Elephas maximus indicus: one gene and its partners. The protein of the gene in region 4 purifies or fractionates together with the protein of the main gene of each other region. This does not show direct contact. Links are inferred from orthologs where the notes say so. Each region holds a gene or a part of one and is shown on either strand. Other genes may lie near its edges. The genes, in order: ACAD9, ECSIT, NDUFA13 and TIMMDC1.

Region 1 (7,466 bases), on a different chromosome or scaffold from region 4:
CTGAGCAAAAAATCTGAGAAGCTGGACTGTATGAAGAAGAATGTGGTATCAGGATTGGAGGAAGACTCACTAACAACCTGCAATATGCACACAACACATCCCTGCTTGCTGAAGATGAAGAGGATTTGAAGCACTTACTGATGAAGATCAAAGACCACAGCCTTCAGTACGGATTACATCTCAACATAAAGAAAACAAAACTCCTCACAACCTGGACCAATAAGCAATATCATGATAAAAGGAGAAAATATTGAAGTTGTAAAGAATTTCATTTTACTTGGATCCACAATCAACACCCACAGAAGCAGCAGTCAAGAAATCAAACAACGCATCGCACTGAGAAAATCTGCTGCAAAAGATCTCTTTAAAGTGTTAAAAAGCAAAGATGTCAGTTTAAGGACTGAGGTGTGCCTGACTCAAGCCATGATGTTTTCAGTCGCCTCATATGCATGTGAAAGCTGGACAATGAATAAGGAAGACTATAAAAGAATTGATGTTTTTGAATTACGGTGTCAGCGAAGAAAACTGAATATGCCACGAACTGCCAAAAGAATGAACAAATCTGTTTTGGAAGAAGTACAGCCAGAATGCTCCTCAAAAGCAAGGATGGTAGGAGTTCATCTCACATCCTTTAGACATGTTACCAGGAGAGACAAGTCCCTGGAGAATGACATCATGTTTGATAAAGCAGAGGGACAGTGAAAAAGAGGAAGACTTTCAATGAGACGGACTGACACAGTGGCTGCAATAATGGGCGTAAGCACAAGAGTGGTTGTGAGGATGGTGCAGGACCAGGCAGCATTTTGTTCCATTGTTGGAGGTGGAATCAACTCGATGGCAACTAACAACAAAACGGGTGGAAAAGGTCTATCAAAGAGGGGGGAGTGATGAAATGTGTCAGATGCCACTGATGGGTCAAGTCAGATGAAAACCAGGAACAGACCACAAGATCTGGCAATGTGGAGGTCACTGCTGTTCTTCCCGAGAGCAGCTTTAGTATACCATAGATAGTTCAGGACAAATGCCCGAACGGCATGGGCTCAAGATCCGGTGGAGAGGGAAAAACTGATGATGCATGTCTTAGCTTCCCAGTACTGCTGTGGCAGAAATACCACAAGTGGGCAGCTTTAACAACCAAAAAAATCCATTGACATCAAGTCAATTCCGACTCATAGCGACCTTACAGGACAGAGCAGAACTGCCCTGTAGCATTTTCCAAGGAGCGTCTGGTGGATTGAAACTGCTCGCCTTTTGTTTAGCAGCCAAGCTCTGAACTACTGCACCACTAGGGCTCCAGAGCAGCTTTAAAAAACAGAAATCTATTTTCTCACAGTTCTGGAGGTTAAAGTCCAAATCAGGATCTCAGCCATGTCAATTCCTTCCCTGTCAGTACCCCTAGGTGTTCTCTGATGATCCCCCCCATGGCATCTGTCCCATGCTGTCCCCCCCCCCCCCGTGTGTGCATGTGTGTCTCATCTGCTTTTTTTATAACTCAGAAGTGATTAGGTTTAGGACACAGCCTACAGTGGTATGGCCTCATTAACACAACAAAGAAAGTCCTATTGCCAAACAGGATTACATCCATAGGTATAGCGGTTAGGATTTCAACACATATTTTGGCAAGGACAAAATTCAATCCACAACAATGCAGATGAGAAAGGAGAGAATTTCTGGATCAATGTCCTTGAGTAGGTGAGAAGGCATAGCATCTAGAGATGAGTTGGCCTTTGCTAGTAGCCATCCAAAGTGATAGAATGTAGAAGATGTGGACACACATGATGGGAGGAGAGGGCAAATGTGGTGATGGAAGTTCTCATCTGACTACATGTATTTTCTCAGTGAGACGGGCAGCAAAGCTGAGAGTGAGGATGCGGGAGGTGGTGGCAGAGGTTTGAAGAAAGAAACATGACAGATGTGTGTTCTCTCCTCACCATGCTTCTGGGAGGCATGAGGTCCCAGGACAGAGCACCACATACTCCCAAGTTTTGGGGAAAATGGTTTTCCAAATTTTAAAGACCTAGCTTTGCATTTCCTAGAGGGGCAAACCACTCTCAGTCTGAGTCTCAGCTCCTGCAACTGCAATGTCTGTATAAAGGTCTGACAAACTTAGAGGACTGTTCTAATGACAAACCAGGAACTAAGTGATACAGTACCAGCCAACATTTGGACCAAGTCTTGCTCAAAGCACTTCATACAAATTTTTTTTTTTTTTTGGTTTGCAAGGCACCTTTAGTAGGAGATGAGTACTGTTTTTACTCCATTTCGTAGATAAGCACACTGAGGCACAGCGGCGTTAAGTGACAAAACTAGTAAGTACTGAAGCCAGCGTTACTTACTCTGCTGCCTCTTGTATCTGCAGCGTATCTTAAAAACATTAAAAAAAATAAACAGAGTATCTTACAGTTTAAAAATCACTTTCATGCACCATATATTTCATTGGGGCGTTACAGCACATCTGTGACGTAGAGACAACACTAGTTCCATTTCAAGGTTGAAAGAACGAAGGCTAAAGTTACAAAAAACAGTCAAGGCCAAATCCAAGTCTTCCAACTATAAAAGGAGAGTTACAAGCCCTGGTGGCGCTGTGGTTAAAGCGCTGGACTGCTAGTGGAACTCGGGAATCCGGAGTTTTAAAACACCCCACACCGAGGTGATTCTTGTCAGGCAGGTTTGGGGGCTCTGACACGTCGACCCCAGTCTTCCTGCTAAGGGCGAAAAGCGGGGGCCCGAGAGCAAGGGTGGGCGTTACCTTCTCGATTGTGCCTAGGAAGAGCTCCTTGGCGAAACCTCGGCTCGGTGGGCTGGTGCGCAGCGAGCGTCGGCTCGCCGTGAAGGCCGCCAGAGCCCGGCAGGCACGCGCCGTCGCCGTCGCCGTCGTCGCCGCCGCGCGCAGGAAGAGTCCGCCGCCGCTCATGCTGCCTGAAGTCGCTCAGACTACCAGTGTCACCTCTTCCTCAGTGCTTCAGGCTGAAGTGCGCGGGATCGCGCCGCCTGATGACGCCACTGGCCTGCTAGGCGCCGCCGGTCGCCAGTGCGCATGCGCCGCGTTGGGCCGCAGGGGAGGGCAGGGCGAGTGGGCTGGGGATCACCTCAATGGGCGGCTTCTCACGTTAGTTGCTGGGGGCCCCCGGGAAGGTTTTGTTTTCAAACGCGAGCGGTTGTTTGCGTAACCCTCAGCCCTGAGAGTCTTCCAGGTGCTTAAGAAGCGGCCCAACTGCCTCCACTTGCCTCTCTTCCTGAGGCAGGGGCAAGCAGTACAAGGTAAAACTAAAGCAAAAAAAAAAAAAAAAATCCGTTGCCGTGGAGTCAATTCCAACTCCTAGCGACCCTAAAGCAAAAAAAAAAAAAAAAAAAGCAAAGGAGTGGGGGAAAAAAGACACGAAATTGGTTATCACCGGAGGGGCGCTCACAGTGCAGATAATATTGCATTTTTTAAGTAGGTGATAGATACATGGGGGTTCATTTTGTTTTGCTTCTCTCCTCGCGTGACAATGACTACTCTGCTTAAAACGGAAGTAAAGAGATTTATTGAAAAAGACCAGACTTACTGGTCTGACAGCCTGGAGAAACCCCGAGAGTATGGACCCCCGGACACTCCTTTAACTTAGTACCAAAGTAACTCCTGAGGTTCACTCTTCAGCCAAAGATTAGACAAGCCTATAAAACAGTAACACACCCGTAGCTGAACCTGTATAGGAGACTAAGTGGGCACACCAGCCCAGGGGCAAGGATGAGAAGGCACGAGGGGACAGGGAAGCTGGGCAAATGAAAATGGGAAACCTAAGGTCCACGTTGTGTAAAAACACAGCGGCACCCGAACCCAAGGTGGGCGGCATCTCCAAGAGACCAGATAAAAACTCTGGAACCAGCGATCATGACATACTGTTTATTCCCGAAGGTTACTTACAGACCGTGGCCCAGGGCGGTGCCTGGACCAGTTCAGCGCTTTGCAACCACCTAGCAGGAGGCACAAGCTTACGTACCGTTCCAGCTGGGACAAAGGCTCGTTGTTTTCTCCCACGTTCTTGGGCATTACTGTTCCCAGGAACTTCACTTCCAGGCCCAGCTGTTCTCCTTCTTGTTGCTAAGGCGTTCTTTGGCCTTGGCCACTGGCCCAGTCACACCATCCCCAGCCTTGTACGGTAGCCTGAGTCCATCCCGAATTCATCCCCAGCATGCTTTGGGGAAGAGCAAAAGAGACTCCATTAGGAGGGGATGCGTATAGCTGAAAAGCATGGCAGTCCAGAAGGGAAGAGTGTTGACGTGTTGCAGGGTTAGCAACCAATGTCACAACAAAACAATATGTGTATTAATTGTTCAACAAGAAACTAATTTGCTCTGTAAACTTTCACCTTAAAATCACCAACCCACTAAGCACAATAAAAAAAAATTAAAAATATATTTAAGAAAAAAAGATTTATTGATAGCAAAGGAGCTGGGGACACATTTGATCTCACAAAGTAAAAACCAGCTCTCCAAAAAGCTGCAGTCACATGGGCATAGTTATAGGGTTGAATCAGGAACTTAGTTTATAATATTCTAATTATGAGGCATGCAATTAGTGAAGTTTAAAGAAAACAACAACGAACATCTCGCTGTCCAGTGATTCTGACTCTTAAGTAGGAGGCAGGAAACCACCAAGCAGGAGGGGGTAGGGCTTTGGTTGGGATTGGTTAACAGAGTTTATGTGAGTTAAGGGGATTGGGTATACTCACATAACTGCGAAAACAAGAGGATTGATAGGCCAGGGTCTACTGGTTCCACCCAGCCAGAAGCCCAAGATTATTTGCATACGAATGGGAAGACACCAAGCTTACATTCTCAGGAATGCAGAAGCAGATGCTTGTAACAAAATGGAGTTTTAATTCAGACTTCATGTCAGTCATTCTATTATGCCAGGTGCTTCAGCTTTAAAGGTTTGCTAGCACACTTTATAATTGCATGCTTGCCTACTCCAAGTCCAAGATCTAATTTTCAGAATCATATAAATCAAACATGGGTGAGACTTTAGGCATATTCTATCCTGGGGCAGAAGTCTTCTTCATCTGTGATCCTGTGAAATCTAAACCAGAAGTTACGTATTTCTAAAGTACAACGGTGGGACAGACACCAGATAGACATTTCCATTACAAATGGGAGAAATTGGAGGGAAAGAAGGGATAATAGGCACCAAGCAAATCCCAAACCTAGAAAAAATTTACATTAGCCCTCAAGGCTTGAAAATAACCATCTATTCTTTGAGACCATGAGGCAATGGTCCCGCCCTCCAGACTCTGGGTGTTGGCCATGCCCTCTGGATTCTGGGTGGTGGCCTTTCACCCTGGGCTTTGACTCCACCTTCCAGGCCCACTGAAACGGCAACTCTACTCACTCGCATTTGGGTAGTCTTATTCCCCTAGTCCTAGTCTGCGTGGCAACCCCACTCCCTCGGCTCCAGCAGGCCCCATTCTTCTGTCCCCTCGGCATGGCAGACCTGCCTCCTCAGCTTTGGGTTGTGGCCCCATTCCTCTGGCACACCTTACTGTCAGCCCCACACTCCAGAACCCAGCTGGCAAAGATCCAACTCTGAAACCTAGGAGGCTGTGGCCCCACCCTATGAAACTGAGAAGGACCTGCTTCCCATACTCCTTTTAACAGTTCTGGTGATCTCCAAGCTGCTCCAGGCATGGTCCTTTTCTTTTCTTGGAGGACAACAGATGTAGCTCCTTTGGCCTATTTCCTGCCTGTAGAATTCTAAGAGGTAGACAGCCTTCTTTCCTTTCATTCTTTCTCTGTACCCCTCAGTCTAAGCTGATGAGTTTCCTGCTGTGGTAGTTGGTTAGATCCATCAGTCACAGGCCTTAATCTCTTTAACAAAAGATGTGTAGCCACGTCCTTGGTGAACATTCTAGGACATGTGCCCTTAATTTGTACAACAGAATTTTCCAAATCTTTAAGTTTTGTTTTCATTTTGTACAGTTCATTTTTAAGTCTATGTCTTTCCTATCTCACTTTACTATAAGCAGCAAGGAGAAACCACACAGCCCCTTTAAGATCTTGCTTAGAAATCTCCTCAGCCAGATATCCAAGTTCATCAAGTTCTACCTTCCACTAAACATTTGAACATAATTCAGACAAGTTCTTTTCCACTTTATAAAAAGCATCACCCTTCCTCCATTGTCCGATCACATGTCCGTAATTTCCTTTTAAAGCCTCATCAGAAGCACATTTAATGTCCACATTTATAGCAACATTCTGTTGCTGGCGCCATATGTATTCTCTAAGACCATAGAGACTTTCTCTATGGCTCTCCTCACCTCCTTCTGAGCCATCTCCAGAGTTGCCTTTGACATGCATAATTCTACCAACATGCTCTTCAAGGCAACCTAGGCTTTTACTACTAAAAAAAAAAAACCTGTGGCCGTCACGTCAATTCTGACTCATAGTGACCATATAGGACAGAGTAGAATGCCCCGTAGGGTTTCCAAGGAGCAGCTGGTAGATTTGAACTGCCAACATTTGGGTTAGCAGCTGAGCTCTTAACCATTGCACCACCAGGGCTCCACTTTTACTGTTACCAAAAAACCAAACCCACTGCCGTCGAGTTGATTCCGACTCATAGCAGCCCTATAGGACAGAGTAGAACTGCCCCATAGAGTTTTCGAGGAGTGCCTGGCAGATTTGAACTGCCGACCTCTTGGTTAGCAGCTGTAGCACTTAACCACTACGCCACCAGGGTTTCCACTTTTACCGTTAGTCACCTTAAAATGCTTCCAACATCTACCCATTACCCAATTCCAAAACCACTTCCACATTTTAGGTATCTGTTAGAGCAGCACCCCACTCTTTTGGTACCAAATTCTGTCTTTGTTATCTCATGCTGCTATAATAGAAATACCACAAGTGGGTGGCTTTAACAAAAGGAAATTTATTTTCTCACAGTTAAGGAGGCTAGAAGTCCAAATTCAGGGTGCTGGCTCTAGGGGAAGGTTTTCTCTCTCTGTTAGCGCTGGAGGAAAGTTCTTGTCTCTTCAGCTCTGTTTCCTGGTTCCTTGGAGATCTCCATGTGGCTTGGCATCAGTCTTCCTCATCTCTACTTCTTTCACTTGCTTGTTTAATCTTTTTTATATCTAAAAAGAGATTGACTCAAGATACACCCTATACTAATCCTATCTCATTAGCATAACAAAGACAACCCATTCTCAAATGAGATTATAACTACAGGCATAAGGCTACGATTTGCAACACATACTTTTGAGGGACACAATTCAATCCACAACTGACACCTTTGAATTGTGGTGCTGGCGAAGAATATTGAATATACTGTGGACTGCCGAAAGAATGAACAAATCTGTCTTAGAAGTACAACCAGAATGCTCCTTAGAAGCAAGGATGGTGAGACTGCATTTTACATACTTGGAACATGTTGTCAGGAGAGATCAGTCCCTGGAGAAGATATCATGCTTGGCAGAGTACAGGGTCAGCAG
Region 2 (7,534 bases), on a different chromosome or scaffold from region 4:
TGGATGGCTTTAACAAAAAGAAATTCTCTCACAGTTTAGGAGGGTAGAAGTCCGAATTCAGGGTGCCAGCTCCAGGGGAAGGCTTTCTCTCTCTGTCAACATGGAGGAAAGTCTTTGTTATTAGTTTTCCCCTGGACTAGGAACTTCTCAGCACAGGAACCCTGAGTCTAAAGGCCACGCTGTGCTTCTGGCTCCAGTTTCTTGGTGGTATGAGGTCCACCCGTCTCTCTGCTCCTTCTGTCTTTTATATCTCAAAAGAGATTGGGTTAAAACACAACCTAATCTTGTAGATTGAGTCCTGCCTCATTAACATAACTGCCTCTAATCTCATTAACATCATAGAGGTAGGATTTACAACACATAGGAAAATCACATCAGATGACAAAATGGTGGACAATCACACAATACTGGGAATCATGACCTAGCCAAGTTGACACATATTTTTTGGGGGGGTACAATTCAATCCATGACAAGTGCTTACTATAAGCAGGCACTGTGCTAACCTATTTGCATTGTTTCATTTCCTCCTCACAACAGCCTTATGAGATGCTTTCATTATCCCCATTTTACAGAGGCAAAGACTGAGGCTCAGTGAGAGAAAGTCACATCCCCAAGGACACACCAATTATGAGGGGCAAGGCTGGGACTCAGCCAAGATCTGCTAGACTCTCAAACTGGCACTCCATAACCTAGCACACAGTACACATGGGCGGGGTGGTGGGGAGATAGCTTGTGGTGTCTCAGGGGTCTTTATAGGAAGCAGTAGAAGCCAGAGAAGGTGCACAGTAACACAGGAACATCTGATCTCCCTGTTGCAGAGAATCAGCACCAGGTCTAGGGTGAGGCAGTGGTCAGAGGTGGGAAGGGGATGGGGTGTGACCCCCAGTCCCACCCAGCCAAATTTTACCTGCCTACCATACAGCAGATAACCAGAAACATCAGCCACAGTCTATAGGTGAGGGGAACGAGGGACCCACTGACCCTCACCCTGGATTGATCTGGCCAGTGCAGCTGGTGGCCTGGCATGGAGGAGTCAAGGCCCTCAGCTCTGCACTTGGCTGGGGTAGAGAGAAACTGTGTGTTGGCACATGAGGCTCCTTAGTGGGACCAGCCTTACTCTGGGAAACTTCCTGGAGGGGTCCCTTTCTCACCTGGACACCCTCCAGCAGTGCTGCCGGCTCTCCACCTGCCCAGAAGCAGGGAGTAGGAATGGGGTGAAGAGGGGTCTATCCATGGGGGCCCAGCTGACTCTTACAGAGCAGGGATTGATACAGATGGCCTGTACAGAGAACAAGTTGTACAGGCCAGAGCGCTAATGGTCAGGGGCAAGTTTGGCCACACCTCTACTTAATTCATGCCCCCCCAGCCCCCCCCACCCAGCTACCTGGACTCCCACTCAGGTGTCTGTGTGGGTCCAAGGCTCTGTGGGCAAGAGGAACAGGTGTGGGCTGAGCGCCCTGGAGCTCATTTGATCAAAATGAAGTCAGGAATCAGAACCATGGGGGCCACAGGTACGGGCAGGGATGTGGCCACGTACACACCCCAGTCACCTCCTCTTCCTGATTGCCCAGCTCCTACAGCCAGAGAGGCAGATGCCAGCTGCACCACCTCCAATGTCGCCATGCTCCAAGGTAAGGCAACAATCTGGGGATCTGCCTGGTGCACACGGGGGAGCAGAGGCACACATCCAGGGACCCAGGCACTGTGTCTCTGTGGTGCGAGGGATCACTTTTGTGTGGCCTTTCTCACCATGGTCTTGTAACTCCCACCCAATACTTGGTTGGAACTGTACAGATAAGGTAATTGTGGTCAGTTTTGCCATCCCACTAGGCTTAAAAGAGAGCCAGTTCCAGGCAAAGGCAGGATCTCATTCACAACCATCAAGGAAGAATAGCCAGGAGCAGAGTGTGTCCTTTGGACCAGGGATCCCTACAGCACTGAGAAACTTCTGGAACCAGGAGACAGTCAGAGTTGTAATACTGAAGATGGTGAGAAGTGGTAGCAGAGAAAGAGCAGAGGAGAGACTGGCAGGGACAGCACAGTGGGCTTCCCGGCACACGGAGCAAAAAAGCTGAGTGCTTTTGGGCAGGAAGCTTGGTGGCAGAATAGGATGCCTCCAAGCACTTGGTGGAGTTATGTTTGCCGACCCATGGAGCTAGCGCTGAGTGTATTCTGGCTGAGGCTTACTGGTGGAGTGGGGTGCCTGGGGACGCTTCGGGCAGAGCTAAAAGAGCTTTGTGACACTTGCCTGAGCAGGGAAGAGGCAGAGAAAAGCAGTGGCATGACTGGGAACAGACTGTCTTGATGGAAGAACTGTATCCTATGTGTTCCTGAGCCTGTTACTTCCCTAATAAACCCCATAATCATGATTATTATCTGTGAGTTCTGTCTGGCCATTGCAATGAATTATCGAACGCAGCAGAGAAGTAGAGAGTGCTATGGGAGAGACTGTTGTGTCAGAATTGGTAAAGATGCCAGAGAGAGGAGGCATGTCTGACCTCTGCCTCGCAGGAATCAGCCTTGGGCTGTTGATCTTGATTCTCCTCTCCCCCTGTGAAACTAGAGATCAGGTGCCGTCCCCACACCATATTTACAATCTCACACACACAGGGTCACACATTCAGGATACAGCCAGCCCTGGGTAGGTACTGGGGATCAGACACATAACCACAGGCAGAGAGATACACACGGAGTGCTACAAACACAGTCACAACCCCACACTGTGGTCAGATATACACTCATACACAGAAGGAGTCTAGAGACACACTATTGTCACAAACATAGACCAGCCCACACGCAGATAGCTAGACACAGTCACAGAATCACTGAGACACACTTATAACCAGGATCATCACAGACATACACAGTGCCGTAGAAGTCAATGGCCAGGAACAATCACACACATACAAGTCAAGGACACACAGAGTGTCACAAACACAGTAACAAACACACACTGGTTGGAACACAACCACACATGGAGTCCCACAACATCAGAGACTTTGGCATGGTCAGACCTGTTACACCATTGCTGAAACACAATCAAAATCACACACATGGTGTGCCACACACTCACAGAATCACAGACTCACTCACTTGTAATTAGACATACAATCACACCCAGAGTGACCGATCTGGGGTATCACACACAGTCACATGCACTCCGATGATGGGACACAATCATGTATGCATAAGTCATAGACATACAGTGTGACAAATACAGTCATTTATCCACTGGTGTTCAGACATGCAGTCATACACACATTAAGGCACAGGAACAATCACAGAAACATTGACACACATACTGCCAGCCCCTTGACTTGTGGGGCAAATCCCCCTTCCCACACGCACAGAGTCACAGACACCCAGAAGCTAGTACACTAAGAGTCACACATGCAGCTACTGACAAACACACAAGAACCCATGAGACACTCACTATGACATGCTGTCACACACACCAATGCCCAGACTGGCCTGGGCACCACCCCTGACCCACACTCACACAGCCGCACATACACCTACACGCCTTTGCTTGAGTTTGGAGATACAACAAAATGCACAACCCCCTCCCACCACACACACACACACTACCACTCCAACATTGCAGTGACATTCCTCCTCCCACAGTTCCAGGACACATTCATGAACACACACACAGCCCCACACGACCCTCAGCCCTCAATGAGGGTGGCCCAAGGGTCAAACCAGACTCCTTCGTCCCAGTGGGGTGAAGAGGGGGTTGGGGGGGTGGGGTGGGAGAGGAAGGCTGAGGGTGAATCCCGCATGATAACAGTGGTGTTGTTGTATGCCATCAAGTCGATTCCTACTCATAGCCACCCTATATGACAGAGTAGAACTGCCCCATAGGGTTTCCAAGGAGTGGCTGGTGGATTTGAACTGCTGACCTTTTGGCTAGCAGCCTGAGCTCTTAACACTGCCACCGGACTCCATGATAACAAAACAATTTATATGGCTGTTCTCCAGGGATTAATTCAATTAAACCTCAAACAACCCTATCAGATTATTATAATTGCCCCATTTCACAGGTGAGACAATGGAGGGACATATGGGTTAAGCACTTGCCCAGAATCATGGACCTAGATTAGCAGAGCCTGTCTCTTCCACTAGTGTCAGCGCTGTGACACTCTAGTTTTGTTCGCTGCTGTATGCTCAGGGCCTAGAACTGTGGCTGGCACACAGTGAGTTCTCAATGGATGTTTGTTGAGGGAAAGAAGGAATTCACATCCCTTCCAACTTTGATAAGTTGATAATTCAACTCTGCGTCTCAGGAGGGAATACCGGAGGCTTAGGCTGGGATCACAGTCCCCCGAAGTCCAGCTTCCCAGTCTGGGACCGGCTCAATCACTCCTTCCCCAGCCATAGTTCACGGTTCCCAGGTGGAGGGTGCGGCTTGCCTTGTTAAGGGCGGGGCCTGGCTCGTTATTGGTGGGCCTCCCAAGGTAGGCGGAACATCTCTAAACTGGTCTTCACGATTTGCTGCTTTTTTTTTTTTTTTTTCGGGGAGAGGAGACGGTAACCCGGAAGCTCTTCGGGTCAATATGGCGGCGCCCAGCTGGAAGATAGAACCGGTCCGGTGGCCGCGGCCGGCCTCATGAGGAGGTAGGTCACGCGTTGGAGGGGGAGGGAGAGCTCCTAGGCCCCGGGGTGGCTCGTTCCGGGTCCGGGAACGCGGAAGGGCGGCCCCACAGGGACCCATCTGCAGGCCTACAGCGCCATGACCTTTTGAAGTGCGGGGCGGGGACGTAGAGGAAATCGCTCCCGCAGCCTCACATACTTTATTTCCCATTTTGTAGATAAGACAACTGAGACTCAAAGAGGTTAAGGCCCTCGCTCGAGATCACGCTGCAAGTCCGTAGCAGGCGAGAATTCGAACCCGTGTCTGCCAGTTGTTCTTGAGACGCAGAATCTTGGCAGCCAGCCGCAGCGCTGCTGTACGTACACCCATTCAAGGGGTTCAGGTTTATAGAGGTTTTGTAGAAATTTAGATCTTATTTCCTTTCAATTTGATAGTTGTTGGGCAACTGCCATTACCAGACACTGCCCCAGGTGCTGGGTACACAGCAGTGAACAAGACAGACAAAAATCCCGTCTTTTCTGGGTGAACGGGACATTGAACAAGTCAGAAATAAATGAAACAGATGATTTCAGCTACTGATCATTGCTGAAAATGCATTAATCTTGGTAATGGAGGCTTTTTAGATGGTGGGCAGGGCGGTCAAGGGAGGCGTCTCATTTGAATGGAAATCTGAATGACCAGAGACAGCCCTGGGGAGGTCTGGGGAAAGTTCGTTCCAAACAGAGGGAAAAGCAAGTGCAAAGATCCTGAGACGAATAAAACTTGGCTTGTTTAAGAAACAGTGTAGCTGGAAGAGTAGACCCTGTGGGATTTTATTTTAAGCGTGTGATATACATTGGAGCCCTGGTGGCTTAGTGGTTAAGAGCTATGGCTGCTAACCAAAAGGCCAGCAGTTCAAATTCACCGGTTGCTCCTTGGAAGCTCTGTCCTATAGGAGCGCTATGATTTGGAATCGACTCCACAGCAAAGCGTTTTGGGTTTTAGACCATTCCTGATTTTAGGCAGAGTGCACTAAAAATAACTTACATTTAAAAAAAATTCCTCTGACCACAGTGACGAGAACTGACTGGAGGCAGGTAAAGGTAGAGGTGGGAGAGGCTGAGTAGGTGCCTAGGGAGAGGCAATGGATTGGGGTCATGGCCTGTGAATGAAGAGAAATGCATGCATATGGAATCAATTTGGGAATAGTCAAATTGATGGATTGAATGGGGGAGTGAGGAACTTGGTGGGCTCAGAGCTGACTCCTAGGTTTGTGGCCTGAGTAACTAGGAATGGTGGTGCCATTGCCTGTGATGGGGAGGAACAAGCTTAAGCAGCGATACCAGTTTGGAGCAAGTTAAGTTTGAGATGGCTGGGTGTACATCAAAGCGGCAGTTAGGTATCGAGGCTGGTGCTCTGGGCTGGTGTTGGAGATAAACATTTCAGAGCTGTTAGCGCATAGGTCAACACTTATTAGACTTTAATACACACAGGAGACGCCTGGAGCTCTTGTTAAAACACACATTCTGATTCAGCAGGTGGTGTGGATTAGGGCCAAGATTTTGCATTTCTAATAAGCTCCCAGGTTATGCTGAAGCTACTAATCCCTGGAACACACTTTGAATAGCAAGGATTTAGAGCAGCGGTTCTTAATCCTAACTGCATATTAGAGTCATTGGTATGCTTTAAAAATTTGGTGCCTGGGCCCCACACCCAAATATTCTGATTTTGTTTATTTGGGGTGTGGCCTGGGCATGAGAATTTGTTTTTTTAATTTTATTTATTTTGTTGTTGAGAATACACATAGCAAAACATAACACCAGTTCTGCAGTTTTTACATGTACAATTCAATAACGTTGATTGCATTCAGTGACGTTGATTACATTCTTCAAACTGTATAACCATTCTCACCCTCCTTTCTGAGTTGTTCCTCCTGCATTAACATCAACTCACTGCCCCCCCCCAAAGGCTCCTATCTAATCTTTTGAGTTGCTGTTGTCAATTTGACCCCATATAGATAGATCTTAAAAGAGCACAATGCTCAAGGCAGACATTGTTTACTAGTTAAGCTAAACTACTGTTTGGTTTTAAGAAGACTTCAGGGTATATTTTTGGTTTAAGGTTCAAAGATTATCTCAGGGCACTAGTTTCAGGGGTTCATCTAGCCTCCAGGGCTCCAGAAAGTCTGGAGTCCATGAGAATTTGAAACTGTTCTGCATTTTCCTGGGCACAGGAGTTTTTTAAAGCTCCCTAAAAGATTCCAATATGAACAAAGTTTGAGAACCACCAGGGCTGTATATAGGAAATACAAAGATGAGAGGAACAAGTGAAATGACACTGCAGGGAAGCAAGCAGACAAATCCACAATGTGAAATTCTTTGCAGTCTCATTACACAAAGTGTAGTCCCCAGATCAGCACATCAGCCTCATCCAGGAGCGTTTTGGATGTGCAGAGTCTCTGGCCCCAGCCCAGATGTGCTGAATCAGAATTGGCACTTTAATGAGATCCCAGATGAGTCATCTGCATATTCAAGCACTTGTGAACATTGCAAAATTTAGAGAAGGAAATGTATCCTGCTGATTGATAAACAGAGAAAGTAAACCAAGAAAATATCTGAGTGTTGAGAAAAAGGCGGGAGGGTAGGTCACTTGTACCAGGTGCTTCTGAGAAATTGAGCAAGACGGAGTCCTGAGAAGTAACCGTAGCCTTTATAAGATATAAAACACAGAGGCCTTTACAAGAGAGATTTCATTGGAATGGTTGGAGGAGCAGCCAGGTTAGAGAGAGTGAGGATGGAGTTGTAGTGTGTAGACACCTCTGGGGAGAAATTTTGCTATAAAGGGAGCAGATATGTGGGACAGAGGTTGGAGGGAGACCTGGGGTCAAGATGGGAGATGCTAGAACAGGTTTAAATGGTGATAAGAATGATTCAAACACTTCCCAACTCATTATATGAGGCC
Region 3 (7,090 bases), on a different chromosome or scaffold from region 4:
CAGACAGCAGAAACCACACCCAAGCCTGTCCACCTCCGTTTATGGGACGTTTTCTAGGGGCCCAGCCCCATGACCTCACTCTTCCTAAGGATGGATTTGAGTCCTGGCCTTCCCTGGTCAGGCACCAAACTCCTCAAAGACCAGGGCAGATCCCTGGGTGAGTCTGGGCCACGGTCTCCAGTAGGCTGAACACTCTGGGCCACACTGTCTCCACCTACAAAATGGGGCACCAGCCCTAGTCCTTGCAACCCTGCCCCCTCTAACATCCTGGCCCTTCTGCTCACGAGCGCTGTGGAGGTACGGACAGTGAAGGGCCTGGGTGCTAGGGGCAGGGCAGTGACAACAGATGGAAGCATCATCACACCTTTAGATGGGGACAAGGAGGGAGAGCAGAGTGTCAGGCTGGAGATGACTTTGAGGCCAAGTCTTGAATGAAGATGGGGAGGTATTAAAGGGAGTGAGGACAGCCATGTTCAGGTGAGAACACATGTGGCGGGTGGAGAAATAGCGAGGAGGGCAGTGTGGCTGGACCAGGAGAGACAGTGAGTTTTATTCTGAGTGTGTGGGGGCCTGGGAGGGGTCTGGCTCTTGCCGAATCTCTGGTGAGACAGGCCCCCTCCCAACAACCCTGTGGTCCGGTTCCTGCACTTGTTTCCAGGTGAGGAGCCAGAGACATGGCCCAGGTCCCTGAGGAAAACCAAAACCAAACCAATTGCCATCAAGTCAATTCCAACTCACAGTGACCCCATGTGTACAGAGTAGGACTGCTCCATAGGGTTTTCAAGGCTGTGACCTTTTGGAGGATTAATCAGGCCTTTCTTCCAAGTCACATGAGTGGGTTCGAACCACCAACCTTTCAGTCAGTAGTTTAGTGCTTAACTGTTTGTGCCACCCAGGGACTCAGATCTGGATGAGGGGCCCTTCAAATTTAACTAGAGGGGCCCGGTCTTTTCTCTCAGCTCTGATGAGATTCAGCCAGGATCCCCCCTCTGATGGCAAGGCCTATCCCCACTGGGCAGCAGTTATCTGCAAAATGGGGTGAAAAGGACCACAACCTAAAAATTTAAGGGGGGAGGGGCCTAGTACTCCATCTCCAGGGCTCCAGGGAGCCGTGGAAGGTGAGTGAGCAGGAGTGGGACATAGACCCACAAGTCCAGCAGCTCCCTTAGGGGCTGTGTGGGTTTCAGATGGAAGAGATAGGAGGGATCAGGGTTAGGGAGACGCTTGCCACACACCCCAGACAGCCACTGTGACCAAACCCAGTAACCTCATCGTAGGCAAAATAAAACCCAAACTTCCCCAGGCCCTGTAGAGTCCCTCGCCGCAGATGCAACCCTCTTCACCTTCTCTCCCAACTTTCCCAGGTTGGTTCCTTCTGGCTCAGCTCAAATGTCATCACCCTGGTCCCTCCCGGACTGCCCTGCCCGATTTAGCACAATTTAAGATCATCTTATTCCAGGCCTTTCCTTTTGTTTTTACTTTCCACCTGCCTCCTTCAGATGGGTCCAAGCATCTCTGCTGAGTCCCAACCTCAATAAATGCACGAATACGCGAGTGAACCAAGTCTGAATGAACCAGTGGACCCATGCCCAGTCCCTAGCCCTGACTCTCCTCCCCCTGGCCTGGAGAGGGCGGTTCTCACCAAGCAGGGCTGCTCCGCTTCAGACTGATGGGGTTCGAATCCCAGCTGTGTTCTCGGGCAAGTGACAGCTGTGTCGGCCTGCTTCCTCATCCGTAAAGGCTCGGTCCGCGTATCAACAGGAGCTCCTCCCTCCCCTTCCGTCCAGTGAGCCCCCCAGCATCCCCATTCCCAGGACCATCACTACCGCTAGCACGATCTCACACCCCCCTCGATCCTGCCCAGGCTGGAGAGCCCGAAGAGCTGGCTTTGAATCTGCCCAACTCCCCACTGAGGCCTGCAGCAAAAGCCTCGACTTGCCTATCTCGAAAATGGATCTCCCATGCCTGCCCTTCCCCCCAGGGGAGCGACACACCCTGCCCCGAAAATGGGCCACGGCTAGAGCCAGATGCGAGGACGAGCGAGTTTATTACAGATTCCGGGGGGGGCCGGGCCCAGGGCGCCCTGCGCCCCCCTGGCGCCCGCGGTGGGCTGGGGACGGGCGCCGCGCACTCGTGTCTGCTTGCCGCAGGTCCTCGGGCGCGCGCCGTCCTCAGCTTAGCCGTCGCTCGTTCCGCGCAGGCGTACTGCCTTCGGCTCCTTGCACCCCGCCCCCTCCAGGAGCCTTCGTGCCGGGAGCCGGGGCCGCGCATTTGCCCTCCCGCTCTCTAGGTTGTGACTGAGCAGGAGGAGCTCGCTTAGTAGCCGTAGGGGAGAGGAGAGGGGAGGGCGCGTGCGCAGTGGCGGGCGGCGGCTTTGCGGGGTTCCGAAGCGCGTCCCTCGCGCGTGCGCCGCGCGTACGAAGTGCCGGGGCGGCACGAAGGGCGGGAGCACCGGCGGTTAGCCGGAGTCCCCCGCCCGCAGCCAACTGTTGCGCGCTACCTGGCCGGCCGAGGGTCGGGCCGACGGGCTGAACTGCAACAGCTCGGCGATCAGGGCCTTGCAGCGCTCAGGCAGCTCGAGCCCGTCGGGGTAAAGCACGCCGCGCTTCTGGCGCCGGGGCAGTCCGGCTATGTCCGAGTCGTCGAAGGGCATGCACCCGGTGACCATGACGTAGAGCACGACACCCAGGCTCCACACGTCGTATTTCTTGGGGTCATAGGGGATGCCCAGCAGCACCTCGGGAGACGCATAGGCCGCCGAGCCGCAGTAGGTGGTGCTTAGATCGGGGTAGCCGTGTGCCTGGCGGCCGAAGCCAAAGTCCGTGAGCTTGACGCGGCGCTCGTCGGGGCTGAGCAGCACGTTCTCACACTTGAGGTCGCGGTGCACCAGGTGGTGGTCGTGCAGGTAGCGCACGGCGCCGGCGATCTGCGCGAAGAGGTCGCGCGCCTGCGCGCCAGGGATGCGCCCGCTGCGCTGCACCGCCTGCAGCAGGTCGGTGGCGGCCGCCTCCATCACGATGTACAGCTTCCCGTTGCATACCTCGATGAACTCGAAGACGTGCACAATATGCGGGTGCCGCACGCCCCGCAGGATGGACAGCTCGCGCGGCAGGAACTTGTTGACGAAGTCGGGCGGCGCGCGCCGCCGGTCCACCACCTTGATGGCCACTGTGCCCTTGTACTTTTTGGACGTGGCCACCTTCACCTTGGAGTAGCTGCCTTCTCCGATAGTGCGGCCCAGCTTATAGCCGAGTTCGCTCAGGAGTTTGTCGCCCGACATGGTGGCGCCCGGGGCGCGTGGGGAGCAGGAGGCGGCTGCTGTCGGAGGGCGGCCGGACTCCGATTTCGGGCCTAACCCATGGCGCTTGGCACCTGCACCCCCGTACCCCCATGTGCCCACTCCCAGACCCCTGCCGCCGCGGCGCCTTTTATTGCCGCGGTAACAATTTCTGCCTTGTGAAGTGACCGCAGGCGTCACCCTGCCGCGGGGTGGGGGGGTACCCCTGAGCCGTGCCCCGCAGGCGCCCAAGCCCCTCATACTATGTGACTCACAATCGCCCGGAACGGCTCAGTTCCGGAGAAGCGGCCCCTAGCCGGGTGTCTCGACCACACTGGGGAGCAAAATCCGCGCCTGGGATCTGGGCGCCTCCTCGTGAGTCCGACCTCGGCTAACAGCGGACCCTTCCCCTCCCACTCCGTGTACCCCCCGCCCCATGGCCATGGGGAGTCCTGGGCTGCCCGCAGATTCCCCTGACGTGGAGAAAACGGGGAAGGGGCTTGACTCTGGGACCTGCTTCCTTGGGGAGCAAGAGGCTGGGGGTTCCTGACAGTCCGCGCTGCAGCCCTGAGGGAAGGTGAACCCGAGATCCTTTAGTACAGTGATGAGGGCGCCCCAACGCCCAGTCTGGTAAATAAGGACTCAGACGCGCTGCTGGAGCCAGGCTCCGCCGCCCCGACGCTCCGCGCCATCCAGGGGCTAAACCAGCGCCCCAGTCCTGTCAGAAACCTCTCGAACTTCCGCCACACTCATCATGACGGCGACAACCGCCTGGTACGTAACTTCCGCCCACGGCCGGAAGTGTAGGACTCTGGTAGAATGGCGACGGCGAAGGTGAAGCAGGACATGCCCCCGCTGGGGGGCTACGGCCCCATCGACTACAAGCGGAACCTGCCCCGTCGGGGTCTGTCGGGTCAGTGTCGCCGTGCGCCGGGGTGTCAAGGTCTGGGGCCCTCGGGCCCCCGCGGCGGGGACGGGACGGCGAGCGGGCCTCAGTTTCCCGGCTGTGCTGCGGGGAGATGGAGTCCCAGGATCCCCCATAGTTTCAGTAATAACGATCATATGTGCTGCAATTTGTGTCTTTTTAACAATCCAAGAGGTCAGTCCGTTAATTACTCCCATTTTACAGACGGTAAACTGAGGGTGGCTTACCCGTGACCCTGGCCCCTTGGCTTTGCTCCGGCTTCCAAGGAGGAGAAACTTGCCTGAGAAAGGCTGCGACTCCCCCAGGGTCAGTCGGGGCCGAAACCCAGGGAATGTCCTATAGGGTGGCCCAGGAATCTGTGTTCTTGAATTTTCAAATGTTGTAAGTAATATTTTACATTGGGTTCAACACAGAAAAAGTAAAAGGTGCCACACTCAGCACCCAGTGTTAACAGAAATAAAATTTAAAACATAATTTAAGGGTGAATACAATTGCCGAAATTCATCAAAATTTACATTTAAAACCTGTGCATGTAGTTGTATGCAAATTATGTTTCTGTTTAAACAAAGGGAAAGGAATTAGCAGGCGTGGTAAAAAAATGTTAATTCAGACTGTGGAAGAGTGAGTCTTTCCCTTGACCCATTCCTTCTTGGTTTTTGTATCCTAGAACAGGGGTGGGCAAACTTTCTCTGGAAAGGGCCAGATGGTAAATATCTTAGGCTTTGCTGACCACGGAGTCCCTGTCCCTGCTACCTTTTCACAACGGTTTACAAATGTAGGAACGTTCTTAGCCCAAGGGCCGTACAAGACCAGGCTATAGGCTTTATTTGACCCAGGGGCACTTGTATGCCTAAGATTCTAGTTCTAGAACAGGTTGACAGACTATGACATGATGTCGGGTGCCATCCAGTTGATTTCGCCTCATAGCGACCCCATGTGACAGAGTAGAACTACCCCATCGGGCTTCCTAGGCTGTAATCTTTACCGGGGCAAATCACCAGGTCTTTATTCTTCGGAGCCTCTGAGTAGATTCAGACAGCCAACCTTCCTGTTTGCAGCTGAGTGCTTAACCATTGTGCCACCAGTGCTCCTTATGATGTGATGAGAGCCTCCATATTTCTTTTATTGAGGGGTAACTGAGCACCCAGCCTGTTAGACCCCCTCAGGTGTGTATTGGGATAATGTGCACCTGTGTGACTTGGACCAGACCCATGGGCCTCCTGTTCCCCCTAGTCCACATCTCCCATTTTTAAGTCCCAAATGTGCCTTTCACCATGGACCTCTTCGGGTTCATGATATCGCAGTACACCAGTGTTTCCTGTAGAACATGCAGGCTCACCTGGGTCTTTCCACACCGTGAGAGGTGAGGAAGATACCTCTTCCGGTGGTGTGGTCTTCTTTATGAGGCAGCAGCTTCCCTGGGGCCCTCTCACCCATCTGTCCTTGCTTCATGGCCCTGTTCAGACCTCAGCCCTGTCTCCAAGGGCTCACAGCCTAGCTGAGGAGACAGATACCATTGCACAAGAATTTCCAGTTTTGAGGATAAGAGGCCTGTGTCAGCCAGGGTGGCAGGGAGCGCCACTTTGAGGAGGAGCCCCCAGGAGGGAGGCACAGCAAGTATAAAGGTCTGTTCTCCATCCCCACAGCCCACATTCCCATCAGCCCACCCTCCCTGCTCCTGTCTTAACCCTGTGGCCCTGAGCCTGACACCCACTGCCCAACAGTGGCTAGAACGTGCCAGGCTGCCCAGGCACCTCCCCTTTGCTCCCCAGTGCTCTAAAGTGACTTCCACCCCCTTTTCCACTCCTCGTCTCTTTTACCCCAACGTTCTACTCCTTCCTCAGTCTAGGTTGGAGCCTTTTCTTATTTTTGTGTCTTTAATATCTTTATTGAGATACATATAATTTACATGCCATAGAATTCACCCATTTAAAGTGTACAATTCAGTGGTTTTTAGTACCTTCACAGATACATGCAACCATCTCCACAGTCAATTTTAGAAGATTTTCATCCTCTCAGGAAGAATACTTGTGCTTATTAGCAGTCATGCCTATTCCCCACCCTCACCCCCAGCCTGTGGTGACTACTAACCTACTTTCTGTCTCTGTGGATTTGCCTGTTCTGTGGTTAAGAGCTCGGCTGCTAACTAAAAGGTTGGCAGTTTGAATCCACCAGCCGCTCCTTGGAAACCCTATGGGGGCATTTCTACTCTGTTCTGTAGGGTGGCTATGAGTCGGAATCAAGTCGAGAGCAACAGGTTTGGGTTTGTTTTTTTTTTTTTTTTTGGACATTTCACGTTAGTGGATAATACAGTATGTGGCTCCATTATATGGATACATTTTGTTTATCCATCAGGAATGGACGTTATGAACAGTGCTGCTATGAACATTTGTGGATACATTTTTCTGTGGACCTACATTTTCATTCTCATGGGAATATACCTAGGAGTGGGGCTGCTGGATCCTATGGTAACTCCACGTTGAGCATCGTGAGGATCCACCAGGTTATTTCCAGAGGGGCTGCGCCCTTTTACATCCCTACCAGCAATGCACAAGAGCTCTAACTTCACCTCCTCAACAACACTCCTTATTATCTGACGTTTTGATTGTCATCATCCTGGTGGGTGTGAGGTGAAATTTCATTGTGTTTCTGATTTGCATTTCTCTGATGACTAATGACATAGAGCATTTTTTCTTGTTTGTATTGGCCACTCGAGTATCTTTCTTCCCTTATTAGGTATATGATTTTCAAATATTTTCTCTATCTCTGGGGGTTCTTTTTACTTCTTTGATGGTATCATTTGCAACACAAAGGTTTTAATTTGATGAGGTCCAGTGCATCTATTTTTGCTTTTATCACGGGTGCTTTTAGTGGCATAGTGGTTAAGA
Region 4 (7,698 bases):
AATTCACAGGGATTGTGTCCTTAGGTGCTATAAGTCTGTGGATAGGCACTGTGTATTTCTGAGCTGTACTGTACTGTGGTTTTGCCTTGTCGCTATGAGGCCCTAGTAGGTGTTCTCATTGTCTCTGTATTTTCAGTTTCCTCTCGCTAAAATAGTAGCAAAGTTTGCCGTTCTTTGGATTAGGAGTGAAACAGCATTGCTCTGGAGGTATTTCCCATTTTGCTTCAAGTTCCAGCCCAAACAACACTTCCTCTCTAAAGCCCTTCTTTTACTCCTCTAGGCAGTTAGGGATTACCAGAATATTTAGCTCATGCCTATATAATATGATATCACATTGTGCTATAGTTACTTGACTTCTTGATGCATAGGAATCATGTTGTAGTTATCTTGATGTCTCCATTGTCCAGCACAATGCCTCACACAGTAGATACTAAAGAACCTTTGGATGGGTAGAGGGATGGATGGATGCATGGAGATGGCTGGCTTAACTAGATCCCTGTTTACTAATTGCCCGGCCATTGGCTCTAGGGGGGGTTGGACAACACTGTAAGAATTGGATCAATGCAAATCCTGACCTTCCCTATGACGAGTCAGTAAGGGTGTCTTTGTATTTAAATGCAGAAAATATTATTCATATTTTTTACTTGTTTATCTGTTTACCTCAGTGTAGATGGTATAAGGATGGTGTGTAAAATACGTAAAATACATGTTTTTGGAAATAATTTGTATCCCCATAACTCTTGAGAGCTTTTTTGTTGTTGTCGTTAATACTAGCTGTGTCCCAGACATACCCTTTCTTCCCCAAAGAGCTGAAGGCCACATTTTTCTTTGAAGAAAGAATAATTTGGTGTATTTGAATGAAGTGGGATGCTTGGGTAACACAGTTAATGCTTTTCCTTTATTTTGGGGGCATCGTTTCTGTGATGTTGTCTACTGTGTTAGGTCAGGTCCTCCTAGTTGCCAAGAACAGAAGCTGCCTCCAGCTAGTTTAAGCAAAGAACTTACTAGAAGGATATGAAGGCATCTTGGAGACTCTAAATACATTTCATGCCATCGAAAGGGTAGATGAGGGCAATCCAGGAATCGCAACAAGAGTCTTGGACAGTCTCTCGAGGGCTGTTCTACTGAAGTTTCATAGAGCGCCGGGCTCTGTCACTCAGCCCAAAATTCCCAAGACAAAAAAAAGCTAACAGACTAACTTACTCTGCCCCAGGCTGATTATAAACAAGAGCACACACAAATACATAAAATCTATCTTCCTATGCATCTGAAGATGCCTTCACCTAAAATAATCCTACTACATTGAGAGGTAAGGTGATCGGGGTGGGGCAGAGGGGTACAATTACAAATCACTCATTCAATAGTTGTCAGAGAATTCATGAACTTCTACTGTGCACCAACAGTGGGATATAAGAAGTTTATAACAAGCTCTCTAACCTCAAGGGACTCTGTAGTTGAGGTAGAGTAAATAACAATGTGAGAGTATCATAAGCTGAATGTGATTAAGGGGACATGAGGACCAATGATTTATAAATACAATACGGATTTGAAGTTTAGAGGAAATTTCCAACTGGGGCAGATGGGAAACTTCATGGAGGTAAAAATTGAGTTACACTTTGAAGGATGGGTAAATGAAGTGTCCGTGGAACCCTCAAAGTTCATTCTCTCTACCTGTGGATATAATTTATATCACATACAATACAAGAAAATATGTACAGCAAGGCCTGTACCTGGAGAACCTGGCAGAGAAAGGGGAAATGCTAGCCCCTGGGAGAAAATTTACTATGGAGAAGCCGTTGACAGTTCTCTGAGTAGGACTGAGCAACAGGTGCTGAGGATAAAAAAAACAGCAGTGGTTCCAGGTACAGTGTGGTGTATTAAAAACAAAAAGTTTCTGTAAAATAAGAGTTACTCAGACTCAAAGATTTGCAAATAGAGAAGGGCCAAAATGAAATTTCAAAACGGCGTTTCCGAAAAGTGAGCACAAGTACAGGTTCTTCATACTCAATTTTGCAGAACTCTGTACAGAGTTGGGAAAGGGTACGGTGTACATTAGACTGGTTGACATTAAACATACTCCATGAGACTAATTTACCAAGAGTTCCTATTGGCTGGGGTACTCAGCCTCTGTTTCCTGCACTCCAGAGCTGGTTCCTGCAACAATCTGGGGGGGTGGGGGGAGGGACCTCAGAACGTTGCAGAGCAAATTATCTTGGTCAAGAGTGTGGTCATGCGTCAGGGCACTCTAAAAAGCAGATGCACGGGCTAGGGCAAAATGGAGTCTGATTCAGACCTGTGTCAGCCATTTTAGTGACGTCAAGTGCCTCCGTTTTAGAGTCCTCTTTCACGGGTGACTGTACTGAAATTCTTCCCTGTCGCAGTTTCTCTGCTGGTAAATGCACACCCTGCGAAAGAGAGAGCTGTATGTGAAACACAGAATGGCCCGGCTAAACCCCATAGTACCTTTTGGCTTAAATAGTTTTGCCGTGATACCCTTCAAAGGAGTCCTGGTAGTGCAGTGGTTCAGAACTGGGCTGCAAACCAAATGTTGGCAGTTCAAATCCACCAGTCGCTCCTTGGAAACTCTACGGGGCAGTTGTACTCTGGCCTATTGAGTCACTATGAGTTGCAATTGGCTTAACAGCAATGGGTACCCTTCAGAAAGAGCAGACCACGGAGGAAAGGTAGTATTTCCCTAGTGGTAGAAGCCGCTTCCCTAGAGGCTTAGAGAAGCTGGAGAGTTGGAAAGTGATAAAGTGATAAGCCTTTGCATGGCCACCCGGCAGAGCTAAGCTGCCATTTCCCCGTCCATCAGGGCCCCAGGGCAGCGTCTCCGACTTGATGACTAGGCATCATTACAGGAGCTGTCCACCAATCTTGATGGACCACGCCCCTGAACACACCCTGAAGAAAAGCCTACCCCTGATGTGTTTCCTCCCCATATATACAACCCCCCCCCCCTCCCCGTGCATGCTCATCAGGGAGTCATCTTGGCAACACAGGTCCTGGTGAGCTCCTTTGCTTGGCCAACCAAATGAGGTTCTTTTTCCTTCGCTATTGTCTTACTCATGCCTCAGTGTTGTGACGAGGAGACCTGGAGGTCCTGTAACGGTGACGAGGAAGTGACAGTCAAAGTGCTGAGGTGGAACAGCAACAGTGTGAGCAGTAGCCAAGAGCCCGGGGACTTTCTTGAGGTACAAAATGGCAAAGAGAACCTTTGAAGTAAGTCTCCAGTCACTAACTCCAGAAGGCAGCGATGGCGTTAGTGAAATTTGCCTGTTACCACGGCCTCACCTACAGGCTAGTGAATACCGGGGAATTTTATAACTTATTTCATTAGTGTCTGCTCTGCTCTTCCCCCTTCCCCAATTCAGGTCCTCCCTCACCCCCGAGTGATTCTGAGGTCATCTTAAGCATACGTTTTTCTGCATGTAGGCTAGAAAGATTGCACAGCCATTTTGGGGGGCTTTCAGGCCTTGGGATTTATCCTTGTGCCTACCCCTGCAGCATCCTGGAGCCAGGGCCACGAGTAGGGGATCTGAATTCTTCACTGAACCTCCACGTGCCAGACACCGTGCTAGGTAGGTCCTGGAGAGACCGAGATGAATAAACGTGTCTCTGACCTAAAAATAAGTCTACTAAGATCAGGAAATAAACGTGATGCAGTGTAGTAAGCGCTATGATGGGTACTGAGTCTAATCCTGTCTCCCTGACACCAGAGAAATCTTGGTGGCTCTGGCACTCATTTAGCCCCATAATCCTGAATCATCACGTCTCTGGGCCTCATCTATAGAATTTCCGGTTATCAAGTTCCAGAATTTGATTTACTGCAGTTCTACTCTGTCCTATACGGTCGCTATGAGTCGGAATCGACTCGACGGCAGTGGGTTTGGTTTTTTTTTTGTTTGTTTTACTAAGGAACGGGGCAATTTATCCACTCTGGTGGCACGTGTTTGCATCCTATCTAAAAAAGAGTATGTTTGATGCCAAGCAAGGATTCAATGAAATTACACAAACCAGTTTGAGATTATTTTAAATGCATGCATATGGATAAAAACGATACTTTGAAACCTAAGTTAGCAGAGACTGTAGTGACAGGCAGTTACTGCTGGGCTATGAAACGCCTGATAGGAACTCCAGAGAACATGCTGCCTTTGGAAAAGCGGCAAGCAGATAAACTAAGGGAAGTGAAATCCACCCTGTGAAGAATTGCCAAAAACTGATTCTTCAAAAGAAAAACGTGTTTTGGAAATGCCGGTGTAACGGCCACCGTGAGCCGCCTTCGATGCCGCCCCCGTTTCCGGAAACCGGAACTGACAGAACACAGACGGACGGGCCCGCCTCCCGGAAGGATTCCCGCGTTGTACCAGCGTCCTTCTCTCCCCGTACTGCACTTGCATTGCCTATTGCACTTCTTAACCTTCCTGAGATTTCTGGCGTTTTAAGTACGCTGAACTACTTCAGCCTATGGTCACGCCTCGCCGACTAGAACCCGCCCTAGACCCGGTTTCCGCAGGCCCAGGCGGGGCCTGACGGCGTGGGCGCTCCAGCTGGCACCGCCCATTCACTTCCGGGGGAGAGCCTGGGAAGGCTACGAGCCCCGCCCGCCTCCACCAGGAGGTGCTTTCAATTCGGGCTCCGCCTTTGCCCCGCCCCTTGACCTTTGCCATGGTGGGGGCAGGACTTCCTGTCTCGTGTTCCAAGGACTTCCGAAGTCAGGTCGGGCTTTTGAGCACCGAGCCGTGGAGCTCTGTGGCGGTTCGCCCTCCTCCCGAGGCGCCTGCGGGCGACCTTGGGGTCCTGAAACCCCGGTGTGTCTGTCCGCCGGTCCGGAGAGGGCTATGGAGGAGCCTCCGATGGCGCCACAGAGCTGTCTCTGCAGGGCGTTCGGTCTTTTCCCCCGGGTCTTTGCTGCCGGAGCTGGGGTCCCCGACTCCGAGGCTCCCGCAGAGGGACAGCTGTCTCCTTACTTCCCAGAACCCCATGGCCCGGAATCTGGATGGGACCGCCTCCGGAAGCTGTTTGTTAAAGAGTAAAAGTGCCTAGGGTCTGTGGGGAGGGGACGCGAAGGAGGCGTGTTTTAGCCTGGGTAACCCCGGGACAGGGACCCCCGGGTAACCCTGGGACAGGGACCCCCGGGTGGTGTGGTTTGTATTATTGAATGGGTTTGAGGTTCTGATATTTGAACCCTGAGCGTGTGTTCTGACATTGCCATTCGGAGGTGGACAAACAGACCGATTTTCAAATAGTAAGGGTCAGACGCGTTAAAAGTAAGACCTTTTGGTGTAGTCTCCTCCTTTTACAGACTGGAAAAGTTGTGCCAAGCTAGTTAGTGGCAGAGTTGACCCTGGAACCCGCCCCTTCCAGTATTATTTCTTGCATTTCAGTTGATCGCAAACTGAGGTTATTTATTGACCTGTAACCGCTCCCCCCCCCCAAAATGAATGTTGGGAAGGGAACAGAGAGGGTGTCAAATTTTTATTTTGCAAATAAGGAATAAAAAATAGTGGCAACTATTCTCGTCATTTTATTAAAAAAAAATTAACTGAATTAAAAAATAAGGATATGATTTAAAAATAAAAGATAACCCAATAAATTGAATTAATTCATTTTATCTAATAAAAAACTCAGAATAGTTCATTCATTCATTCATTCATGTATTCATTCATTACTTACTGGTGAGAACTGTGCTCTGGACCAGCGTTCATAAAGTACTTTACCGTACTACTCAGTTTTCTCAATTGACTAGATTAAAACTGAAGCTTTATTAACGTTGCTGAGATAGTTGAGGACAGGGAAGCTGGTGGTGTTTCGTTCAATTACTTTAGGTATTTAAGTTTCATCTTTATTTTAAACATAACGAGGCAGCATTTCTCTGGTCTTTCCAATATCTGCGATGCTTGCGAAAGACCTTGTGTAGTATGTAACCAATGACAGTTATTTTGATCATATGTATAAACCACGGAAGTTGGAGCTTAAAGAAACAAAAGATAATCTAGTGTACCTTCATGCTTTCCTCTATATCGTAGATTAGGAAACCAGGGTCCAGAGAGATTCTGATCCTGGCTGCATGTCACTTAGCAGTGGAGTGACAGAACCAGGGCTACCACCTTATTTTATAGTCTAGATTGTAGCCTAGACTCCATTGCTATGCTGCCTTTTTTTTTCTCCACCATTCACTAGTTGTTTGGACCAACCATGTAACTTCTTAAAGCCTCTTTCTTCATCTGTAAAGTGGAGGTAAATAATTGTTCAGAGGGTGAAAAAGAGGCAAAGTACATACATCTTCTGGTCTATTAAATCTTAAACTTTACATTTGTGAGCCCTACCATCGGTAACAGTTTTAATGTAAATATACTGTCTTATTCATTATATAAAATAGTTCAAATTATAGCTGTTTTTCCTATTGATGTAACTATAAAAATTAGTTTTCTAAGAGATTTTATTTAAATTTCTCTTGTTGCAGAAACTGTACAGACTGATTCTTGTTTCAGAGGTTTTGTGGTTATTGACAATGAGACATAAATAAGCACTTGTACAGTTCTCTGAAGAAAGCAAATTAGTAATTACAAGTAACATTTAGTACTTTACTTACCTAGGAAAGCCATGATTTATAGTAACTTAACACTTAAAATGTAGTGATTTTTTTTTTTTAGAGCAATTCTAAGGATATCTTCGGTTCTATTTTCTTATGCTTTTGGGAGCAATAAATTGAATTCAGATTTTTAAACAGCAGCGTTTCCTTGTTTTAAATTGCTCTGTGTTGCCCACTGCGTAGTGAGATTTCTTAATGCTTTTTTACTGCAAACGCTTTTTTTTAAATACCAGGTTTTTATTCTTGCAGACATTGTCCTAAAATCCCATGAATCTGTGGAATTTCTAAAAGTTAGTTTGACATTCAAGAAGGAAAATATTGGTCTCTACATCCAACTCACAAATTCTTCCTGTTTCTAGGGGTGTGGTCTAGGGGTAATAGTCAACAAAGAAGAGCAACTTTTCAAAAATGTTTTTGTTGGAATGTAGTATGCATTTAGAAAAATGTACATACCAGTACTAATCAATGAATTTTCACAGACTGAAAATCGTGTATAGCCAATACCCAGAAACAAATAAGACTATTACTGGCCTACCAGAAGCTCCCCTTTTCACCCTCCCAGTCACTACCTACCCAAGACTAACCACTCTCCTAGTTTCTAACAGCATAGACTAGTTTTGCCTTAAATTTGAGCTACCTTTAATATAACTGCACTATTGAATTCATCAGAGGGTTTAATAAATTCAACCCGTGATAAAAAAGATATTTATGTGGTGGTGTTAGCATTCGGGATAACAACTGATCATTGTGTGTTTTGGAGAGGAATATCCATAAACTAACCCCAAACAACATTGTCTTTTTGGTGTTTTAGTGAATGGCGGAGAGCTGAAGAACTTCAGAGTATTTATAGGGCAGCGATTTCAGCAGGCATCATTGGCTTTGCATATGGGGGAATTCCAGGTTTTATTCATGCTAGACGACGCTACGTTGAGCAGAGCCAAGCAGAAATTTATCATAACCAGCTTGATGCTGTGGTATGTACTGGTAGTTTAATAGTATTTTGGGAACACGGTAATTTAGTTAGCACTTAGCATTTAGTTAGGTCATGGGGTTGAGAGGGCTTGTGTCAGAGTAATAACAATGCAAGTACTAATGCTAAAATG

The links.
Region 1: the proteins of TIMMDC1 (region 4) and ACAD9 purify together in Homo sapiens (affinity purification with mass spectrometry; 3 studies listed by BioGRID and IntAct, counting the BioPlex papers as one, with this or other methods). This does not show direct contact. The link is inferred for Elephas maximus indicus from reciprocal best matches to the Homo sapiens genes TIMMDC1 and ACAD9.
Region 2: the proteins of TIMMDC1 (region 4) and ECSIT purify together in Homo sapiens (affinity purification with mass spectrometry; 3 studies listed by BioGRID and IntAct, counting the BioPlex papers as one, with this or other methods). This does not show direct contact. The link is inferred for Elephas maximus indicus from reciprocal best matches to the Homo sapiens genes TIMMDC1 and ECSIT.
Region 3: the proteins of TIMMDC1 (region 4) and NDUFA13 purify together in Homo sapiens (co-immunoprecipitation; 3 studies listed by BioGRID and IntAct, with this or other methods). This does not show direct contact. The link is inferred for Elephas maximus indicus from reciprocal best matches to the Homo sapiens genes TIMMDC1 and NDUFA13.

The regions. Positions count from the first base shown.
Region 1 is NC_064838.1:41,144,628-41,152,093, reverse strand, and holds the start of ACAD9 (complex I assembly factor ACAD9, mitochondrial), read right to left. Parts: upstream 3,018-7,466; 5' UTR 2,915-3,017; coding exon 2,750-2,914; intron 1-2,749. UniProt on the Homo sapiens protein: As part of the MCIA complex, primarily participates in the assembly of the mitochondrial complex I and therefore plays a role in oxidative phosphorylation.
Region 2 is NC_064821.1:29,504,014-29,511,547, reverse strand, and holds the start of ECSIT (evolutionarily conserved signaling intermediate in Toll pathway, mitochondrial), read left to right. Parts: upstream 1-4,529; 5' UTR 4,530-4,617; intron 4,618-4,811; 5' UTR 4,812-4,949; intron 4,950-7,534.
Region 3 is NC_064821.1:39,275,562-39,282,651, forward strand, and holds the start of NDUFA13 (NADH dehydrogenase [ubiquinone] 1 alpha subcomplex subunit 13), read left to right. Parts: upstream 1-4,075; 5' UTR 4,076-4,096; coding exon 4,097-4,190; intron 4,191-7,090. Other genes in the region: TSSK6 (testis-specific serine/threonine-protein kinase 6), read right to left, coding at 2,459-3,280. UniProt on the Homo sapiens protein: Accessory subunit of the mitochondrial membrane respiratory chain NADH dehydrogenase (Complex I), that is believed not to be involved in catalysis. Complex I functions in the transfer of electrons from NADH to the respiratory chain.
Region 4 is NC_064819.1:9,882,337-9,890,034, forward strand, and holds the start of TIMMDC1 (complex I assembly factor TIMMDC1, mitochondrial), read left to right. Parts: upstream 1-4,685; 5' UTR 4,686-4,841; coding exon 4,842-5,032; intron 5,033-7,406; coding exon 7,407-7,569; intron 7,570-7,698.